Arabidopsis thaliana: one gene and its partners. The protein of the gene in region 4 interacts with the protein of the main gene of each other region in a pairwise test. Each region holds a gene or a part of one and is shown on either strand. Other genes may lie near its edges. The genes, in order: UNE12, AT5G42220, AT5G32440 and AT5G15802.

Region 1 (5,241 bases), on a different chromosome or scaffold from region 4:
GGTTCAATAACGCAAAGGCTATAGCGATGTATGTTTGACGCCTGTACCGCATCAAATTGAGTTTGCATACTCTTTGTAGTCTTCTTGGTTTTGGAATTTAGACCCATTTTAAACAAATTGCCAAATCATCTTCGTTTATTATTATCTCACTCTAAGATTCATGTGAAATTGTAATAAAAACAAAACTTTTATCTGTTACTTCAAAAGACACAAGATTTTCCAAACTTTACTCAAAAAATAAATTTGGCAGAATGATTTAATGAATCACATGAAATAATCATATCAATAACTTTAATTCTTCGATGAGTTTTTTTTTTGGCTATATTTTTCCAAAACTAACAATATTAATAAAAGTTGTATTTTGTCTTCACTAATCAATGCAAAATGTAAACATGCAAGTTTAAATTGATACATGTTCTGTCCAAAGTGTATATATCTTAGCATTTGAGATTTGGAAGTTAAAATTGTACACGTACCACTAAAAAAAAGAAGCACAATTCATGGTACTTTCTCCTAAAATATTTGCTTTATGTTTCTAGTGTTATCAAACAAAGGATGGTTACTAGATCAAACTAATAATATTATTTGATAATTAATTATACTACTCCAAAGTCATACAAAATAAATAATAATACAAGGGGTGACAAATTACAAATACTTGTTTTTTCTTCAATTTGAACACAACTCAACAAGGTCCCACAACTTCCCACTACTACTACTACTAATAAATAACACCCTTCAAGCTCCTTCCTCAACCTCCCACTAAAGTCTTGAAAACAAAAAGTTGCTTTCATCAAAGTCCACCTAAAATAAAGGTACAATGATTACAATAATACTTGATCAATTGAGCTTTTTGACATTTTTTTTCCCTCTACTGCAAATCCTACATTGATTCCATCTACAAAGCCTTTTTCACTTTTTTACCTTTCAAGTGGGTGAGAGAGGAGAGAAGAAACCAGAGTCATTAGAGCAGAAGAAAAACCCATGTTGGACAGTTGGATTAGCTGTACAAACTCTTTATTGCAGAAATCCTACTGTGGAGGATTGTTCTCAGGCTTGACCACTGAAGATGTATCCGGAGGTTGAGAATGGTAAATTGCCATTGCCAATGAGATTGGCATCATACAAAGAGCCTTTGATTGAAGAAGCTGCATCGCGGCTCCAACGTTCTCTTCCATCAGTTTAGCCACTTGACGTTCAGTCCCATCGTTAGACCATTTCTCCCACGCTGGTTGCGGAGTCCTTCCACCCTCACCCGTTTCATCCTATTGACATTTTAAGCAAAATCTGAATCAAAACCCCATTACTAAAGTTTTTACTTTTTGTTCTTAAAAAGTTTTTACCTCAACTGATGATGAAAGAGGCATATCAGTAACAAGTGGAGCAACCGCACCGGCTCCACCAAGTCGGCTCATGCTCAAAACCTACCAAAGTTGACAAAGAGAAACAGATATCATTGAAAGTGATAAGCTTCACCCCATGAAAATTATATATATAAAAAAAGCTTTTACTTTTAGATGAGCATGGAAGATTTCACAAGAAACACATTTTCTATTTTTAAAACAAAAGATGTATTATCTTATCAGAAATCCATCATTGCATTCTGTTTCTTTAGTGTCTCCATTATCTTATAAAGTAAAGAGACTTCCTTTTTTCGCTTGCGAGAGCTTTAAGTAACCGACTGCATTTTGATATAAGAAGCATTTGATGATCTACCAGATTACTATATTATAATGTGAACATGATGATTGTAATTATTGTTGAATATGGTATTATAATCATAAACTGTGATTAGGCTCCCTATGACAAAACAAAAAGTGAAAAGAGACTAAATGCCAAAGAAAACAAAAGCATTTTGGACTTGTTTATTCTTTCCCACATTAAATAACTGATCTAATCAGATTGAAATTTGGTTGAAGGGTAGGTAATGGTGGGACCAGAATTAACACCAAAAATCCATCCAGAGAATTTGAAAGACATGATCTTTAGATCTCTAATCTTATGAACAAACAGATTAAACATATTGCATAGGGAGTAATAAGATAATTCACAAGAAAGAGAGTTCGAGTTTAAAACTGCAGAAGAGAGAAGAATATACCTTGACTTGGAGCCTGAGAAACTTTACATAATCGACAATCTCATCGATCATAGCAGCTCTATCGGTCTGCACACGAAGACGGGAGAAACAGAAAGTGTCAAACTTTCTAGAGAAATTATATACAGGTGAGGGTTAGGGTGAAAGGTACAGACCTTGTTCACAGTAGGTACAAGTTCCTGCAGCGCCCTGATCCGTTCTGCTATTCTTTCTCTACGTAGCTGTGGTAAAGTAAAACAAACTTTTAGGTAATCCCTCCATAAAATCAAGAGATCATTACACAATGTTAACATTTTTTTATATCCGAAACATATTTTCAACTACAACCAACTCGCCACCAACATAGTATATCACAGGGAAATACAAAAGAGAATCTGAAATATACCCGCTCAGCGATGCTATGTGGATCAGTAGCCTGACCACGCCTAGCTCGAACCCTGGGACGGATTGAAGTAGGCTGATGTGGGGCCGATGGAGGTGGCTGTTGCATAGGCTGCCCGTGGAAAACCTTCCAGACAACACACAGAAGAAATAAGACCAAACGAAAATAAACCATTTGCACAAGGATTTGACTCCATTAGTTGTAAGAGAATAATTTAAGTTAGACCCTTAAGATTACTCATTTGACCAACTTAGAAGGCAAGATAAGCCACGCAGCTACATGAACTAGTGAGAAGTTGCTCATAGAGTAACAAGAGCTAACCTTAGTTTACTAAACAAACCAAAATCGATTAGATTCAACAAGTCTGAGCCAAAATAAAGCACATAACGCAAATCATCAACTTTGTTAAAGTTACTTACCACAAATCAAAAACTAAAACAAAAGTTACCAAAAATGTTCTCTTCAAAACCCTCAAATTCGATTTCTTCCCATTTCTAATAATCAAACACCAAAGCAAGAACAGAACTTACAGGTTTCATAGAAGAACATCGATTATCAACAACATCATCTGAGAATCTTTTCCCACTTCCATGTCCTCCTTCAGGTCTAAGAAACCCAGGTCCTTTCCCTTGATCAAGACTTAACCCCAAAGGAAACATCTGATTGTGAAACCCAGTTGGTCCACTTCCTCCTAAGCCACCCATGTGACTTCCTTCTTCTCCGGAACCCAACTGCAGCATCATAGGCGGTGCTCCACCACCTAATCCTCCGTCAACTCCAGATAAACCGGCGGCAGAAGAGGCTGAGAAGTTAGGAAGGCCGAGGATTTGCTCGAAGAAATCATCAGAAGGAGTTTGGTCAGAAAGGTTGTCGTGAGGGTTGTTACTAGCCATGGTTTGAGCTAAAGACAGAGACTTTGACTCGAACGAGTCACTGTGAGTTACGATTAACGAGTTAGGAACCTTCAAAGAGAGATTTACATGCGAAAGCTACAGATTTTTTTAATCTATTTTGGGTTGATGAAATTTTGATGCTTTAAAACGAATGAGGACGAAGAAGACAGAGACGAGAAAGGAGCAGAAGAAAAGTGAAAACTTTATGCTCTGTTTATAAAAAAAATATCCTTTTTGGTAAAAGACCTTACTTTTTCAGATTATTTCGTTTTTGCCATTTTCTTATTTTCCTTCCAGAAACAAAATAAAAATATATAAATGGGCTGGATTTTATATCATATTTGGGTCTTCTTTCTCTTCTTCTAAATATGGGCCTTCAATTCAGTCTTTGTTTTTTTCTTTATGGGTTAAAGTCTTCTTTAGTTTTCCTTATAAATTACGTTAAACCTCTAACAATTAATTTATAGAGGTATTAATTATTAGTAAATTAATAATTAATAATTTCTTTAACATTATTTTTTGCTTATGTTTTAATGTTTACTTGATTTTTTTATTAAAATAGTTTCTTTGTTTTTGTTTATGTTTTTAACTATTATAATAGTTGTAGTCAAACATAATTTAGTAATCTTTTTAATTAATTTTGAAAATATATGATATACTTATAATTGCCACTAGATATTATATAATTTGAATTGATGTATTTGGAAATTGGAAAAATACACTGAGACCAAACATTTGCGATTTTATACGGCCGAAGCGGTCGTTTAGGTGTTACGAAAGTGGAAATGGTGCGTCGTGGAATTGCACTGAAATCATCCCCACATATCTCCTCCCGCCTCTAATAGCTTCTGGTTCTTTCCGTTCTCATATATCTAGCAGATCCACTACCTATCTACCATGACGCCAAGTAGTGACGGTACTGTCCGTCGTACTTATTGCTCTCTATTTTTAGAACATGACGAATGAATTGTAGTTATCTATTATTGTATCCCTCCTAATTCTAATTAATGTATTCAACTATTAGAATGTATTGAAAAAATCGCTTATTTTTCTGTTTGTAAGTTAAATTTTCCTATATCACTTATTGAGATGTTTACATAATTCAAAAACGTCACATAATTATCTTGCGAGATATAATCAAATTCGAGATATGCGCTAAGCAAACAAGCTCCAAATAAAGTATTTCAAATTCAAAAGAGACAATTTAGTTTCCTAGAAAATGTTTTCTCTCTTCTATCACAATTCAGGTTGATTCCCAAGCTTGTCGATATGGAAGATTCTGTTTGCTAGCTTATCAATCTCAGCGACTCCTCTCTCTAATTTGAGTCTACACCAACAAAAACTAAAGGGTTCACATCATTATGCCTAAATGGAGCTCATTTATAAAGGAACAACTTGTGCTTAAGGAGGTAATTCTCAGACCAAACACGAACATCCAACATAAGAAGTAATAAAAGCTAAGAAAAACAGTTATTTACAAAAATCAATAAATAAAACAAGTTTTGTTTTGGATGAAAAAAAAAAAAAAAAAAAAACAAGTTTTGTTTTGATAATATATTAACACAAAAAAAATCAGTTAATCAACTTAATAGTTTAATATATTAATTATTATCCCTTTAAGAATTTTTTTTTCTAATGCCCTTTTCATGATGCCCTTTTTCAACTTTACCCTTTTGTTTTATCCAATTTTATTTCTACCCTCTTTAAATTTTTAATGACCATTTTACCCTTATTTGGAAATTGTTTTAGGTTAACAAAATGAAAAATTAATATTTTTTCGCCAAAAATATTCCAAAATAAATTTCCCGCCAAAATTTGTTTTCAAACATATTTTTCCCGCCAATTTTTTTTTTTTGGCGGGAAATAGATTT
Region 2 (8,002 bases), about 12 Mb from region 4:
CAAAACTCATCACAAAAGACAGCTTGTCTTAGGAATGTTCATGATCTCCGATGTCGCTAAGTCATGGCTCGCTGATCTTGAAAATCTCTGAACCCATGATGTTTTAGTTCAATTTTGTCGTCATCCTTAATTTTTCCGGTGGTGATCAATTGTTCACAACCCTTGAATACGTAAAACCATAAAACAAATTTTAATAATCTTTTAGAAATTAAATATAAAATAAAACAATATTATTAATTTGTCATAATCCAAAATTATAAATTTGTACAACAAAACAAACACAACAACTTTGTAATTTTAAACATATTAAAAATTCATAGTAAATTTTATAATATATAATTTTTTATAAAAATTAAATAATATATAACATCTTATTATTGGGGTTGTCGTGACAGTTCATTTTTCTGAATTATTCTACTATTTATTAGTTTACATTCCATATTTATTGTGCAATCTTTATTACCTATTTGTTAAGGAATTAAACTAAATATATAATTTGCTACAGTCACTCGTTAGTGTAGCCCTTTAGCCAAATTTTCGATCAAAACCAAAATTGTCAGTTATAAAGGGACACCTTTTTCCCAAGTAATTTGGTCAATGTCGAGAGTTATGAGTAATCTCTGGTTAAAGATGGAAATATCAAATTGAATCGGCCCTTTAGAGACCAGATAAATTACGTTTGCTTATGTTTAGCAGAGTATAGACCATCCCAAACCCTAATTCTTAATACATAAGTGAGGGATCTCAGCAAATAAACAAAGATACTTCAAAGATATGACACTTACAGAACCAATTCAACCAAATATCTTATAGACCTTGATCATCTTTTAGCCGGCCTTCGATATCACGTCTTAGCAACTCCGCATATTCCTGCAACACTCAAATACAAGTCTGATCAAGGAGTCTTTATTTTTATTAAACAAACAAACTAGTCAGTTTTGATGCTTACTTGAGAAAGAGCTTCATCACAGCAAAGCTCGTTCACTAGTTCGTCTTGGCTTATCGCAGCATTTTCGACCATTGCACGGAAGACATCCTCTGGTGGATCAGAGTGCTCAATCATTTGAGCCATGGATTGAACATTTACCTATTTGGAAAAAGTAGAAAAATAACATTCATTACACGAGATAGAACAAGAGACAATGACGTTTATTGTAATACCTAGGTAAGAATGGTGTTACTTTTTCTACAACTAAAAAAAGACAACAACAAAATCCTACTCAGTCGATAATAGTATCAGTTTTTCTTCAGCCACATTTTTTTCCTAAATCAAAAACGCAAGAAATCCAAACCTAACACTCGTAGATGTACCTGAGAAGGTTGACGATCATCAGGCTGTATTGTTGCGGGATGAGGCAATGGCCCTCCTTGGCTAAAAGCACGTGAGACTAGAGGCATCATTTGTTGGACCATTCTAGAGAAATCAAAGCCGCCGCCCTCGCCTTGAGCTCCACCTGACATCATATTTTCTATCTCTTGCCCATCCACCTGTTGCGCAATCTGTTGGACTGTGTTCATGATCTGTGGATTCTGGGTAAACTGCTGGAGCATATTTCTCAGCATATTTGGTGAATCAACACCAGCTTGTCGAGATACCCCTGCTAGCAATCCATCCAATACAGGGCTCTCCAGGACCTGAGACATTGCACTTGAGACATCTACACGATCATCTGAACCTTGCCCGCGTCTAAGACCAGTCTCATCTGAACGAGAACTACCAGAAAAGAGAGATTGCAAAAGCTGCTGACCACTGGTCCCACTGCTTTGTTGCACACCTTCAAGTGTAGCTGAAGTCCCGCTATCTTCAGTCTTACCTGATACCTTCGGCTGCTTGCTTCGTTTCTTTAACCAAAAAAAACATACTATGACTGTAAGCATTTGGAACTATGACACTTGTGGATATGCTATGCAATGAAAAACAAGCAGCAGCAACTTGACGCTTATTTTTCAACTGATTCATTACCTTACGGTCTAAACCGCCAAGCCCCAATCCAAGTGGTGTAGCTGTAGCTACCTCTGGAGTAGCCTTATTGGTTTCTTTGGCATCACCGGTAGCATCTCCAGACGGAGCTGATGATTGTCCTGTAGTACAAGAGGTATCTTTTGCTCGGGCTGGATGCTCTAAATCTCCACCAAGATCTTTTTCATTTTGACACTGGTTGAAAAAACAAAAATTAGTGGTAGGCTAACCCTGGTGAACATAAAATAAAGAATCATCTGATTGCAGAGAAGACATACCACTGAGTTGCTCCTCTCAGATGGTAAGTCATGCAGTGAGCCACTAGACGACTCAGGTGCGCAAGTAGTTGCAATGTTGGTAGGCTGCTCAGGCATAGCAGTGGCAACACCATGGCCCGTAGACATATCCCTCTCGAGAGATTCTATTCCTGATTGACACGTGAAGAAGAGCTTGAAAACATTTCGTCCACAATGTAAAACTTTAGTCAGCAGGAAACCTACCCGATGGAATCTGGTCTCTTCCTTGCATAATGTTTACCATATCTCTTATCCTTGCATTGATTTGAGCAACTGAAACATCATCACCCAAACCAGGTTGAACCCCAGCAGAAACGTTCTCACCGGTAGAGTGTGATGGAACAGCCGCAGGAACTGAACTTGTATTGCTGTCACGGTCTCCTTGTCCTCCTTCTCCATTGCTTCGCTGGTTCCCAACTGATGACAACATAGGTGAACCTGATGTGCCTGGTAATTAAGTATGAATTTTAATGGAGAAGAATTGTGCAGCTAAGTCCAATAGCAAAAAAGTGAACTTCACCCACCAGCATGTATGTGAATATTAATGTGCCTTTGGGCAGTTCCTAAACCAACAGGTCCGGTTAGTGGATTTGATGAGACAGTAGCACCAGTAAAGAGAGGGCTGATTTGGTGAGGAAAAGGCTGCAAAATACAGTAATAATTACATAAAAGTAGAAAATTAATTTAGAAAAAAGATGAGACTAGAAGCTTACCTGAACCATAATAGGATTCGGTCCTGATGGAGATATATACACAGCAGGCCCTGCATTCACATAGGATAATTCCTGTAGATCAAAGTGTTAATGAGCCGCATGTCAAGAATGAATAGGAAAATGCACGAAAGGAATGACCCAAAACGCACCGGCGACGGTGCCATTCTCAATGTCAAAATTGTGCGTCCAAGCTCCAGTAGGAGGGCCCCTAAATGTTGCATGGCAAGACCTACTTGCACGGCCTCTGTCTGGATTTGTGACCTTAGAGTAGGATCTGAAGATGAACCATCTTGCTCCAGACGTCCCGCAATATGCTACAACAATGTTTTTGCAAATTACAAACAGCACATAATTAGATGACAATGCATGGTAACCATATACATAACAGTTCTTGTAAAGAGAAAGAATGGAATCAATTAATAAGCAGTGTGAAGAAGGTGTTTACCGATAAAGAAGAGACACCGAGACCACTCAGTAAATGTTGTGCATTCCTTAGGACAACAGAGAGTGCTTCAGGTGTTGCTGCACCTCGTCTATTTCTAGGCAACTCTTCCCTTGGTCGCCCTCCGGATCCAGCAGAAGAGGTATCTGGCTGATAGCCTGGAGGAACATCCAATTAACTTATTTATGTGTTCTCTATCCAATATGACAATAAAACTTAGATCACAATACCATTTTGTGATAATGCCTGCTCCATCCGATTAATGAACTCCATTAGAGTGTCTAAGGAATCCGGAATAGGCTGCAGAATTAGAGAGTTACATTGTAAAATGACAAGATTAAAGCTCTAGTCTCAAGATCAAAATACTACTACGTGACTAAGAACTACCGTTAAGAATGAAGGGATAGGAATCGTTGTGGCTGCTGTAACAGGAATCTGAACTACACGAGGCATCGATGTTTGAAATGATACACCAGGAAATGCTTGCCTAGGTTGTGAATGACCCGTAGCTTGGCTTTGACCACCAATGCCAGGCTCTCCATCAGATGTATTTCCAGGAGGTGCATTAGACGACTGATTCGACTAGGAAAAATAAAAGCGCATGCAACATCGAGTTTAGAAACAGGCAATAGTTGATGACAATATGAAACCTTACACATCAAATAGTAACAACACCTGATTCTCAACAATCCTTAATGTAGACTAAGCACTAATATGGAATAAATTCGAAATAGAGAGTGACGAGAAAAAAACTCACGGGCATAGAGGATTGCGTGCCATTAGTACTGTGATTTGTAGGAAGCTGTCCACTAACTCCAAAAGAATTTAGAACTGCTCCAATGACCTTAGTAGTTAGCAACACAAAATTAAAAGCAGGTTAGCCTAACTAATCAAACCATCCCATAGGCCAAACAATATCACAAATCCTTGGGGATTACCCGGCTGAGGTCTGGAACAATGCCTTCTGTCTGATCTCCAACATTAAAAGACCCAAGAACTACGCTGTGGGAGACATGTCTTCCATTTCGAGATGGTCCACCATTTGTATTATTTCCTGTTGAATTAAATAACAAGTTGAAATAAGATGATGGTTGTGTTAACAGCTCTTTTAAAACTCAGAAAGGGGATAAAAAATAACTTGATTACCATCATTTGCAGTTGCCCCTTGTGAAGGTGTACCAGAGGAAGGAGCTGATTCTGCTGGCTGCCTCACAATCAAGTGTAAAGTATGCCCATTTTCCAAATCTATGACGATGTCAAGTTATCAACTATACTGAAAGTAGAAAAGCGATGGAAGGAAACGACAGACATAAACTAAAACTAAGCTTATCGAAGGTATATATATATATATAGTTCTCTTTCTGGATTACAGCTTCCTCTACGGTGTAAGACTCACAAAAGCAGAGATGCACTTGATCAATCAAAAACTAGACTTCCGACAGATTTGGTTAACATGCATTTTATACACAGGGCACATGGCATAATGCAACAAACAGCTACACTATAACATAAAATCAACAAGTTAACAAAGTCGCTAGCACTAGGATACGATACTCCGAGAGAGGATGATCATCTTTCAAAACCCGTCCTCGGAAAATGAGCCGCTGCTGACCAACCGGCACCCCTGTCTCACTAGCAATCTTCTCCTTGAATAGCAAAACAGTTTCCTGCAACAAGTCAAGCCCTAAGCAGTATCAGATATAAGCAAACTAAACTTAAGCAAATATGCAGGTGAAGCAGAAGAAGAAGAAGATTTCTTACATTCTTGTTCACTTGGAAAGTATACGTCCGCGAGTCTAACGTTTTGATGTTAAGCTCAAGGGTTGATTCTGGAGTTTTCTCCGACGCATTGGTGCTACTAGAGCACTGGTTAATGGGTTGATCTTCCATGAACCCTAAAGTATTAAAATTTAAAAAACATAAAGCTTGTAAATTCATCTTACAAAAGAATGATCTCATAATAAACAATATTATCTCTAGGGTACTCAAATCAAAACCTTTACCACACACATTTCCAGATATTGATCATACAAAACAGAATCAACAATGAGACACAAACAAATGACATAACTAAATGCTAGTCATTGTAACAAAAGACCAAATCCTATATATATGCAAGTCATTGTAATAAAAATGCTAAAAATCAAAAACTTTCACCATCCAAAGCCACAAACAAAAGACCCAGACCCAAATAAATGCAAGTCATTGTAATATCACTGTTCAAAAATCAAAACTTTCACCGTCCAAACCCAAAAACAAATCTGCTAAGGCAAAAACAGAGCCTATAGATACGGAAAAAAAGGATCAAGATTTAAGAAAAAAACAATCAAATTCCATGAAGGCAACGAAGAACGAACCTATTTGCCGTCGTGGGGTATTGAAAAATTGAAACTTTGGCGGAACAAAAGACTCTCCGATTGAAATCTAGAGAAGTATCTCAAAGTTGAAACACGAAACCAAACCTGATGTGTTCAGAGTTAAAGGGGAAGAACAAGGGCGATTGTGTCGGGAACTCGGGATTTTGGTGAAATTGAAAAGAAAAAGAAGAATCTAGAGGAGGAAGATACAACGACGACGTTTTGAAAACCTGAATTGACGCTTCCGCGAATATAGGCCTAGTCTCCGCTCTAAATGTGGACTCTTCTATTAATAATATAAAGCTGGGCCTGGCCTTTTTAACCATATCTAAAATAAATTTTAAACATGTGCTTCTTTTTCTGTTTTATTATGTAATTTTGATTTCTAATATTTAAGTATTTAAGTTTACACATAACTGGATTAATCATGAAGATTATGGTTTACATATAACTGAAACGAATCTATGTTATTGTTGTCGTTAATAATGGTTATTATTTTATTATTTTTTGTCATCAAATTATATTAATGTTCAAATGAGTCAACTTTAGAAAAAATTGTTTACATATATGAAGCGATTCAGTACGAATTTTTCGTGCCAAAGTATTCGTTCTAACATTTGCAGTATAAGAGATTAGAGATAGAAACAAGCTTGAGATTTTTTTATTGTCACTCAGGCAAATCTTTCAAAATTGTAGAATACACCGGCCATTAGGTTAGGGAAAACACTATATTCATTAGGTTTGAACAGTCTGTGAAAAACACTACATGTTGGTTATGTGTCGAAAGATCATTTAAAGTTTAGTCTGACAATTTTGCGGCAGTGTATATGCAAACAACAACAAAAGTAGAACAATCAAAGCATATAGACATAGAGTGTCATATTGTGTGAGAAAGGATTCAAGATGATGTGGTTTCAGTTAAGCATATAGGTAGAAATTTCATGAAAGCGGATCCGTTAACTAAAGGTATTCCACCTAAAGTTTAGTCCACATTATTAGTTAAAATACAAAAACAACTAGATTTTAACCTGTGGTATACCGCGGGAACAATTTATTTTTTAAAGTTAGTATATATAAAAGTTTACAAATTGTATCTATCTATAAAATAATTTTATTTTATAGTTTACAAATGTTATTAAGTATCGTCCTGTCAAACCCGTCCTGTAAAAAAAAAACTATTTATTTTATTAATGTTGATCTTATTTATGATATGTTTATGAATCATTGTCTAAATATTTTGTAATTTTGTAGTAATTAAATGCTATCAGATTATATCTCTGCGCTTTGATGATTATAATCGAATTGTTATAGTTATGGAGAAAATCAATATCAAAAATGATAATTTTGTAGTAATTAAATGATATTAAATATTTTGGAAGTATTATTTTAGTAAATAATCGTGTAGTTAATGTGGAGATATTTTGGGAAGATTGTTAAATGTCAAATATTTAATTCGAATATTTTCTTTTTAATTATCAAAAACAAACATTAAAATCCAGTGGCAGCCATTGTAAATAAGTCACAACTAAAGGATTTATTTCACAAAATGGCTGCAAAAATGTATATATAGATTATAATAAAACATGTTTCAATTATGTCTATATATACAAAAATAATTATGATGTATATAAATAAATTTAATGATACAAATATTGGAGCTATTTTGTTGCTTTAGACAACTAAACTAACTTTGAACTCAAAAAAAGAAAGAAGATATCTAAATTAACTGAAACGGCCATTAAATATGGTGTTTCCCCTAGGAGTTATTGACTAACCTATACAAGCTATTGGTGTCTTGCTGACTTTAGATATCATAAACCCGTACACAATATGGGTTAAAAAAAAACATCAAGGATTCGACCAATGCAATTAAAACCTGTATATTATCTTTCACTACGAAATCCATATGGTTTTGAGGAAACTGTGTTATGGAGATCCCATAACTGATATTGGTGTTGCTGCTCTGATCATCAGGCTTTGGATGAAAGCTATAGTCTACAAAGAAAAACAAAGTAACGGACATTATATATATTATTTTTCTTAGTAATCGAACAACTCATATAACTTTGAGGAATCAATTAAAAGGTTTATATGTTTCACATACATTGTCATATAACTAAATGTTAAACCAAAAAAAAAAGAACTGAATGAGTTAGTGATTTTTCATGGGAAATTAGATAAGATTTAAAGTTTCCTTTTTGCACAACCAACAACAGCATTCGTTGTGAATTAGA
Region 3 (4,021 bases), 6.9 Mb from region 4:
ACAAATAATAAAAATAAATTGGGTAACCAATTGGTTCGATTAAATTTTCAAACCGAGCACATTTAAAACATATGCCTATCGGTTCACCTAGAAAAACCGACCATGAACCAAAGTAACTAAACACCGGTTCGGTTCGATTTCAAAGATTTCAAGTTGGGTAAATATTGCAGGCATGGTTTGAACTGTGGGGATTTCTAAATCACCCTCTCCGTGGATAGAATAACAGACCAATATGTTCGATTAAATTTTCAAACCGAGCTCATCTAAATCATATGCCGATCGGTACACCTAGTCTAGAATAACCGACCATGAACCAAAATAATTCAATACCAATTCGGTTCGATATCAAAGTTTTGTTTCAAGAACTGTTGTGATTGTTTTCTAACAATACTCAAGTCTTTATGGGTCTGTTCGTAAGTTCTTGTGACCGCCAGACTCCAACAGAGCAAAGTGGCTATGGCCGAGACAAAAACAGTCAGCCGATGATGAACGACCGGCGTCAACATCTCTCATTGACGCTAGTATTACCAGGCTACTAGCAACATAACAAACTCTATTCGCTGTTTGTTAACTGATTGAAATAAGTCTTATATCTGTGGAATCCATCATTGAACTCGAAAGAGAATATATACAACAATAACAACAACAACAACAACAAAAGAACACAGTTTTGATTCCCCGAATATATATAAATAGTCACAAACCAACAGAGAAAAATACACTGGAAACAAAATGATACGAGGGCCTCACAAAGTATTAGAAGACGTCTGGATGGTACCGCCCCGGGATGGAACTGTTTTGCTGAGCTTGTTTCAGATGAAGCGTCAGAGCATAGTTATTCACCTGCAAGGAGCAATCAAAACAAAACTTAGAAGTTAGATCTAATCATATCGACAAAAAGACAACAAAATTGTATAAGATAAGGTGAAGACATTTAATACAGACCTCTAAAGTTCTCAACTGTTCCTGGTATTGAGTGACTAGCTGCCTCAGATGCTGCAATTCCTGACTTTGGTCTTCCGATTCTCTTTGCCGCTTCTGCTGTGTCACTACCGCTCGTTTCAGTAAACTGTTTTCCTGTACAATAGCTTCTAATTGCTGCTTCAGCATCATGTTTTCCTGAAAAATCGGATGTTCATAGATAGATATACATCTCTGGCAACAAAACTTCTTATCAACAAAGAGTGAAGAAAGAAACAAAGAAAGATAGATGAGACACCTGTTGGAGATTTTGCATTGCGTCAGTACCAGTACGTGCATTAATTGACTTCTCCAAAGCTTCCAATGCTCTTGCAGCACGGGCTTTGGCGTCTTTCATGTCAGAAGCATTCATCATTTCCCTAACAAAAAGCTCAACCCACTCTGTACCATCCAAGTTCAAGACATTTGGTTCCTCCTTGGCTGATCCTACAAATACCAAAACCCGTTTCATAATTAAAACTTTGTAGAGCGAGTCTACGACTTATGCAGAATACACTGAAACTAGTAAACTGTTTAGAGATCAGTAGGACACAAAACTACCTTGCTGTTGAGGTTCAACATTTGGTTCCTGGATTACAACAGGAGATTGGTTTGTAGCAGAATCAGAATTCTTATTGGCAGATTCTAAACGAAGCTGATTCAAACATCTAATGGCTGAATCAAGGTCATCTCCACATTCCTCGATTGCCCTCTCAAGAATCTACCACACACAAATGTCAACAACTTTATAACACCAATAAACCATCACAGACATCCATAGACATAAAGAAGCCTAATCAGAAGAAACATATGCTCCTCTAATAGGTCCAATAAATCACCAAAAACATCTATCGATATGCTCATTACTGATAAACACAATTGCATAATTTCATTTCAATCTAATCGAAAAACCTAATCAAAGAACAATCAATCAATAAAATGATCCAGAATCGAAACAGGAAAAAAAAGATGGAGATCGGAAAAATGAAGGACCTGCTTATCCATATCGGGGAAAATCGCGGCGAGGTGATCGAGAAGAAGTGAGGAAGAAGGAGGAATCGGAGGAGAAAAACGAGACGAAGAAGATGAAGAAAAGCAACGGAGTTTCTTGGAGACGGGAGGAGAAGCGGCGGCTAAGTCCTCGAACAGAGATCTCTTCCCGCAAACAATCGCAGACATGTTATCTGCTTCCCCCCTTCTTCTTCTTCCTTGAGATCTCTCAAACAAGTCTTTTATCGGATCTTAAAGATGTTCGCAACAAAATGGATCCAACATGTTTAGGAACTCTGACCCTTGAAATGGGTAATTGGTTTAAGAAGAAATTTATAGATTGTATTTTTTTCAATTCGGTAAAACTGGAGATTGATAGAGAAGTTTTTTAATTTAAAGATTTTGAAAAATGGTTAAAAAAAAGGAAAAAATTAAAAATGTCATCTAAATCATTAGTTTTTATTGGTTTAAAGCATAAGTTTTGATTTAGTGATTTCAATCCTCAATTTTATGTTGACTTTCGATTTGATCACGAATTCGTGTTGATTAAGTCAGTTAAGGCATATCGTTAAAAAGTCTCTTAATCGAAAACCCTAGATTCCCAAAATCGAAATTCTTACATTATTGTCGCTGATGCGGCTTGAATATCAAAATTCTAGAGTTGTCGGAATTAATAGCGACACCATCCTTACATTATTTTTAAGCAGCTACTGTCACCGGTTTAAAAACCATTAACGAGATTTGCGGAGAAGACTCTAGAAAAGAAAAAAATTAACCAAAAAAATATTGTTTTTAATTGAGAATTTGGGAATTTTACAATCATCCCGTTTTAATTACTCATAATTATAATATTTAGTTGTTTTCTAAAAGAGTCAAAGGGAGAGTCACACGACTCTAAAAAGAACACATCTCTAATAATTAATAAAATCAATTCAAAATAAAACAAATCATTATACTTAAATTAAAATAAATAAGTTGTTTGGTCTACGATATTTTTTTGGGTGAGTTACTCAAACAACACATAAAAGTCTGTTTATTACTGTCATGTGTTGTACGAATTGTTGATCATTAGATGATGGGTAATTTGTTTTTTTTTTGTTCAAGAAAAGATATATGTTTAAAAATGGTCAACAAAAAAAGCGTATTGTAGCAAAAGGATAGTAGAAAAATGATATTTTTGCAAATCTTCCTTAAAAGATGATGTCATGTCAGTGAGAGAAACTGTATTTCGCCCGCGAAAAAGCACACCATAACATAAGTCTATCGCTGTAGTGACGGTAGGGTTAATGAAACATGGTAAAGTTAATAAATTAATTGAGTTACGTGGTAGAGATATATTCAGTAGAGTTGTGTGATTGAGTTATTTATAGTGGTGGCAGAGTTAAGTTGATAAACAAGTTACATGACATATTAGGATTCTCCGTTTACTCACATAGCATTAGAGAATATATACTGTAACGTGGTGGCAAAGTTAAAAGATAGAGAAATGTAATTGACTTATAAAGTCGAGTAATTTGTAGTGGCAGCAGAATTACTCAGAAAAACATAGTTAATTGCCAGAAAAATGGAAATAAGTCTGTCATAGTGTGGTAGAGTTAATCTGTTGGTATAGTTAATTATAAACTACCAGAAATATCCACATTGATAGCAGACGAGGATAATCATTTTTCGTAACTGTTATGAAAGATAGTTTTTTAATTTGATTACTATATAATAGCACTAAAACAACGTTAAGATAGAAAATCATTAAGCGGGAAGCTAAAATCCCTTATTCCGCCAATAATTAGAAGAAATATTTTACTTAAGAGCAATCTATCTCAGATCTGAAAATTTAATCATCATAATTTATTCATAAAACCGAATAAGACAGAAAAAACCCAAATCTAAAGCTACGTCTCTCTCAATCCACCTTCAACCCCTCAATTTCTTCCCGTGTCCATCTCTAAATCTAAATTTTCACTCTACTTTCTTCTTCAAGTCATTTGCTCTTCCTTTGTTTTGTATTTTGCTCACCCTCTTGCCCAACCATTTTGGATTTTGAATCTCTAGAAGTAGAAGGCAAGTTGGATTC
Region 4 (3,731 bases):
ATGAAGCTAAAAAATCTACCCATAAGTCACTTTTAGCAGAAATACCACCATATAGACAAGGGATTATTGTTGATTTTGCCATTTTTTATAGAGATCTTTTGAAATTGCCATTTTTACTAAAATCTTACGGATAAGCCATTTTCTAAGATTTAAAAATATATGGATTTCGGACTTTTTTTGGTAAAAATACGTAGTTTACACAAAATACTAAACCCTAAGAACAACCACAACCGAGTAAACCCAAACATAATGAATAAAACGTATATTCATTCACGTAACCTGAAAAATGGCAAAATTCACAAACTATTAAAAAAAGGGCAAAATCCACAAATGCCATCCCAAAAAATGGCATTTTCATAATTGATTCTATAGACAATTATTTTTCTGCCTATTAACTTTATTTGTTTTGATAAAGATAACCAACCTACTATCAGTTATGGTTGATTTTTTTTATTCATATTAAAAAAAACAAGAAAACGAAGTAACTTTATTTAAGTTAAACAAAAATTCAAGAAAAATGTGTGTTTGCACCAATTATGGTACATCAACTGCCAAAAACCCACCTATAGTTGCTCACTGAAAGAAAGGTCCAGCAGAGCATTTGGTTACTAGATGAATTTCTCCGGTTTAATGACGATAAAACCCGGTTAAAGTTAACCTACTCAGTAATTCATAAGCATCCGGTACATCTAAGCAAAGTGCCTTATTTGCAGTAACAGATCAAGAATTGGAATAAGAGACTTCTCGAATAAACAAGACATTCTTCAACTTTAACATTACCATTACCAATGGACCGATTACACTTATCATAGTGTCAAGAAGATGAAACAACTATAAAATACCGAGAAAATGGTCAAGATTTTGAGCATTCAGGGCAAGGGAAACAACCTTTGGCTTGGCAATTATCGCAAGCCACTGATCTTGTGTTTGATGAGTCACTGAAACCAAAGAATCCTCCTGATTTGATTGTTCCTGTTCCTTTGCAACGGCCACAAGCTACATTCTTAAGATCTCCACATTTTCGACACATGCCAAGAGATCTGCAAAACTTGTGTTTAGAAACATATGATGATGGCAAGTTATAGATTCAAAAACAAGTCTAATGTCATTCAGCCATGGACATACAACACTCTAGAACATTTCTTATAGCCGTCAGCAACCACAATGAACAGTCTTAAGATCATGTCTCATTACAAAGGTCAGATTTTCAGAATCCATAATCAAGATCAAGAATGATTCAATACCTGAATATTTCAAAAATCAAAAGATCTTTCAGTGAGGAATACAGAATTTCAGGAAAACCATTACTTTCACATGGTGTGAACTCAGAAAAAAAATGTAATCCATTGGAGATTGAAACTAAAAACATAACTCAACAATGGATTTTTTTTTTCATTCAGAATCTATCCTTCCAAACTACAGATCACAAAGAAACTCTTAAGGATGAAAAAATAGTTTAAATCAAACCCTCTTGGATTAAAATCAAGCAGCTCATTGCAATTCTAAGCAGCTACTACAAGCATCATCATTATCACATAACAACAAAACAAATCCACACGGTTTAAATCCAAAACAGGATATAACACGACATGGGTTCCACTCAGAACATGAAAGATTGAGCAAAAAGTTGGATTTTGTGGAATTTCAGAAATCTTATGTAATGAACTTGAAAAGCTTTATTACCTTCTCTGAGAAGCAGCGATAAAAGCATCAACTTTAGGAGCAGCGATGGTGGCACCAAGAAGCAGAGCCCCAACTGCCAAACCCGCAACTTCGTTTGACGTTAAACTCTGCATCGTCGTCTTCCTTTTTCTCTTCTCTTCTCTCGTTCCTTCTTCTTAACTTGATGATAATGATATCCTGAATTTATTTCAAACGGGTAAATATTTTACATATCTAGAGCTTATCAGATATGGCCTATTAGCTCAGTTGGTTAGAGCGTCGTGCTAATAACGCGAAGGTCACAGGTTCGATCCCTGTATAGGCCACTTTTTTGTTTTTCCTTCTTTTAATAATTTCAATTTTGACCCCGTATCTTTTGATTTCACCAATTTGTATCCCAAAGTTAAATAAATGAATTTCTCCAAACGATTTGTAGGGTTTAAACAACTTAGTATACTCCGTTACTCGCTTCCAAACCCGTACGGCCTCTTTAGAGTTTCACCTTTGTGTCTCTCTGAAACTGCAACAAAGCTTGAAGCGATAGGGTTTATTCAAGCTTCACTCAAACCAGTCGCTAAATTTCGACATCTTTATTCACATATCTATAGATTCAAGCTTTGTGATTTGCCATTCGGGTTTCAGATTCGTGTTGGTAATTCAATTTCTGAATCCTCTGCTCCTAAAGAGAAGAATCTGAGATCAGCAATGGAAACGGATCTCAATGATTATACTGTCATTAAGGAAGGAGAAGCTGAGGTTCTTATGCACAAGAAGAACCAAGTCTTCTTCAACAAAGCTCAGGTTTGCTATATGATTTGATTTTCTGCAAAGGTTCTTCCTCTTTGGTGATAATTGATTGAATTATGTCAAGGGCAATCTTAGGATTGATCAAGTATTAGTTTTGAGCATTTTATCTTGGTTTAAGATTTCAAATTTAGTGTTTTTTTCTTGTTATGGATTAGTGTCATGCTTGTGTTAGTGAGAAATTTGAAGGCAACTGATCCCAAATCCTTCTTAGCAATTATGTTCTCTTGTGTGAATCCATATGGATATAAGTGTGAGCTAAACTAATTGCGTGTTGTTTTATGGTTAGGTTAACAATAGGGACATGTCTATTGCTGTGCTAAGGGCATTTATAATCAAACGCAAGCAAGAGCATGAGGCTATGTTATCTAAAAGAGCTAGATCATCTGGGAAAGTGGTTGAGAAGGATGTCTCTGAAACTTCCAAGGAAGAAACTCCTACTGAAAACGGTGACGATAATGGAAAAACCAATGGAGAACACGAAGTAACAACTCAGGATGGACCAAAGGAAGCTGCTAAGACCGCATATGAATCTGCACGAAGGGAACTCAAACCACCAAGAGTGCTTGAGGTTTACCTATATTCTTTCCTTTATGACTGTAATAGCTGTACTTTTGTTTTCTTATTTCGTTGCTTATTATGCGTTTCTAGTTGATAACTTTTTCTTGTGTTATTTATTTTATAGGCCCTGTCAGCTTCAGGGCTACGGGCTTTGAGGTATGCTCGTGAAGTTGAAGGAATTGGTCAAGTTGTGGCTTTAGATAATGACCCAGGTATTTTTTCCTTCTCAACGTTTGTGCTTGTGAAGAGGTTCGAGACTCTACTTTTCTTTCGTCCTAACATCCCAGAATAATATAGTATTTCCATTTTCCTATTAAAGCATCGGTTGAAGCCTGCCAGAGAAACATTAAGTTCAATGGTTTGATGTCTACTTCAAAGGTGGAGTCACATCTTACTGATGCTCGTGTTCACATGCTCAGCCACCCAAAAGATTTTGATGTGGTAAGTATCCAATTTTTGCAAAATCTTTTCATCTTATTGATCACATAACTAACTTGGTTCAGTGATGTCTTAGGTTGATCTTGACCCATATGGTGCGCCGTCTATTTTCCTTGACTCAGCTGTTCAATCAGTTGCCGATGGTGGTTTGCTGATGTGTACAGCAACTGACATGGCAGTGTTATGTGGAGCTAACGGCGAGGTCTGCTATTCCAAGTGAGATTTTACTCCTTCATTACCTTATTCTGAAAACAAATATCTTTGAT

The links.
Region 1: the proteins of AT5G15802 (region 4) and UNE12 interact in a two-hybrid assay, tested with the Arabidopsis thaliana proteins (one large-scale study listed by BioGRID).
Region 2: the proteins of AT5G15802 (region 4) and AT5G42220 interact in a two-hybrid assay, tested with the Arabidopsis thaliana proteins (one large-scale study listed by BioGRID).
Region 3: the proteins of AT5G15802 (region 4) and AT5G32440 interact in a two-hybrid assay, tested with the Arabidopsis thaliana proteins (one large-scale study listed by BioGRID).

What each region holds. Positions count from the first base shown.
Region 1 is NC_003075.7:1,136,937-1,142,177, forward strand, and holds UNE12 (basic helix-loop-helix (bHLH) DNA-binding superfamily protein), read right to left. Parts: upstream 3,605-5,241; 5' UTR 3,371-3,604; coding exon 3,008-3,370; intron 2,604-3,007; coding exon 2,481-2,603; intron 2,317-2,480; coding exon 2,251-2,316; intron 2,165-2,250; coding exon 2,099-2,164; intron 1,425-2,098; coding exon 1,344-1,424; intron 1,266-1,343; coding exon 1,032-1,265; 3' UTR 551-1,031; downstream 1-550. UniProt on the Arabidopsis thaliana protein: Required for ovule fertilization.
Region 2 is NC_003076.8:16,870,261-16,878,262, reverse strand, and holds the start of AT5G42220 (Ubiquitin-like superfamily protein), read right to left. Parts: upstream 6,026-8,002; 5' UTR 5,769-6,025; intron 5,307-5,768; 5' UTR 5,302-5,306; coding exon 5,173-5,301; intron 5,079-5,172; coding exon 4,961-5,078; intron 4,657-4,960; coding exon 4,558-4,656; intron 4,466-4,557; coding exon 4,350-4,465; intron 4,256-4,349; coding exon 4,169-4,255; intron 3,994-4,168; coding exon 3,799-3,993; intron 3,712-3,798; coding exon 3,642-3,711; intron 3,570-3,641; coding exon 3,415-3,569; intron 3,284-3,414; coding exon 3,119-3,283; intron 3,042-3,118; coding exon 2,970-3,041; intron 2,899-2,969; coding exon 2,781-2,898; intron 2,704-2,780; coding exon 2,461-2,703; intron 2,388-2,460; coding exon 2,239-2,387; intron 2,156-2,238; coding exon 1,964-2,155; intron 1,843-1,963; coding exon 1,312-1,842; intron 1,088-1,311; coding exon 950-1,087; intron 871-949; coding exon 808-870; 3' UTR 786-807; exon of another isoform or gene 531-785; intron 162-530; and 1 more. Other genes in the region: AT5G42210 (Major facilitator superfamily protein), read right to left, coding at 7,695-7,763.
Region 3 is NC_003076.8:12,075,132-12,079,152, reverse strand, and holds AT5G32440 (Ubiquitin system component Cue protein), read right to left. Parts: upstream 2,261-4,021; 5' UTR 2,140-2,260; coding exon 1,954-2,139; intron 1,682-1,953; coding exon 1,519-1,681; intron 1,408-1,518; coding exon 1,220-1,407; intron 1,120-1,219; coding exon 946-1,119; intron 844-945; coding exon 757-843; 3' UTR 550-756; downstream 1-549.
Region 4 is NC_003076.8:5,155,725-5,159,455, forward strand, and holds AT5G15802 (chaperone), read right to left. Parts: upstream 1,822-3,731; 5' UTR 1,797-1,821; coding exon 1,684-1,796; intron 1,041-1,683; coding exon 854-1,040; 3' UTR 520-853; downstream 1-519. Other genes in the region: AT5G15810 (tRNA (guanine(26)-N(2))-dimethyltransferase), read left to right, coding at 2,368-2,463, 2,756-3,037, 3,152-3,239, 3,347-3,468, 3,542-3,681.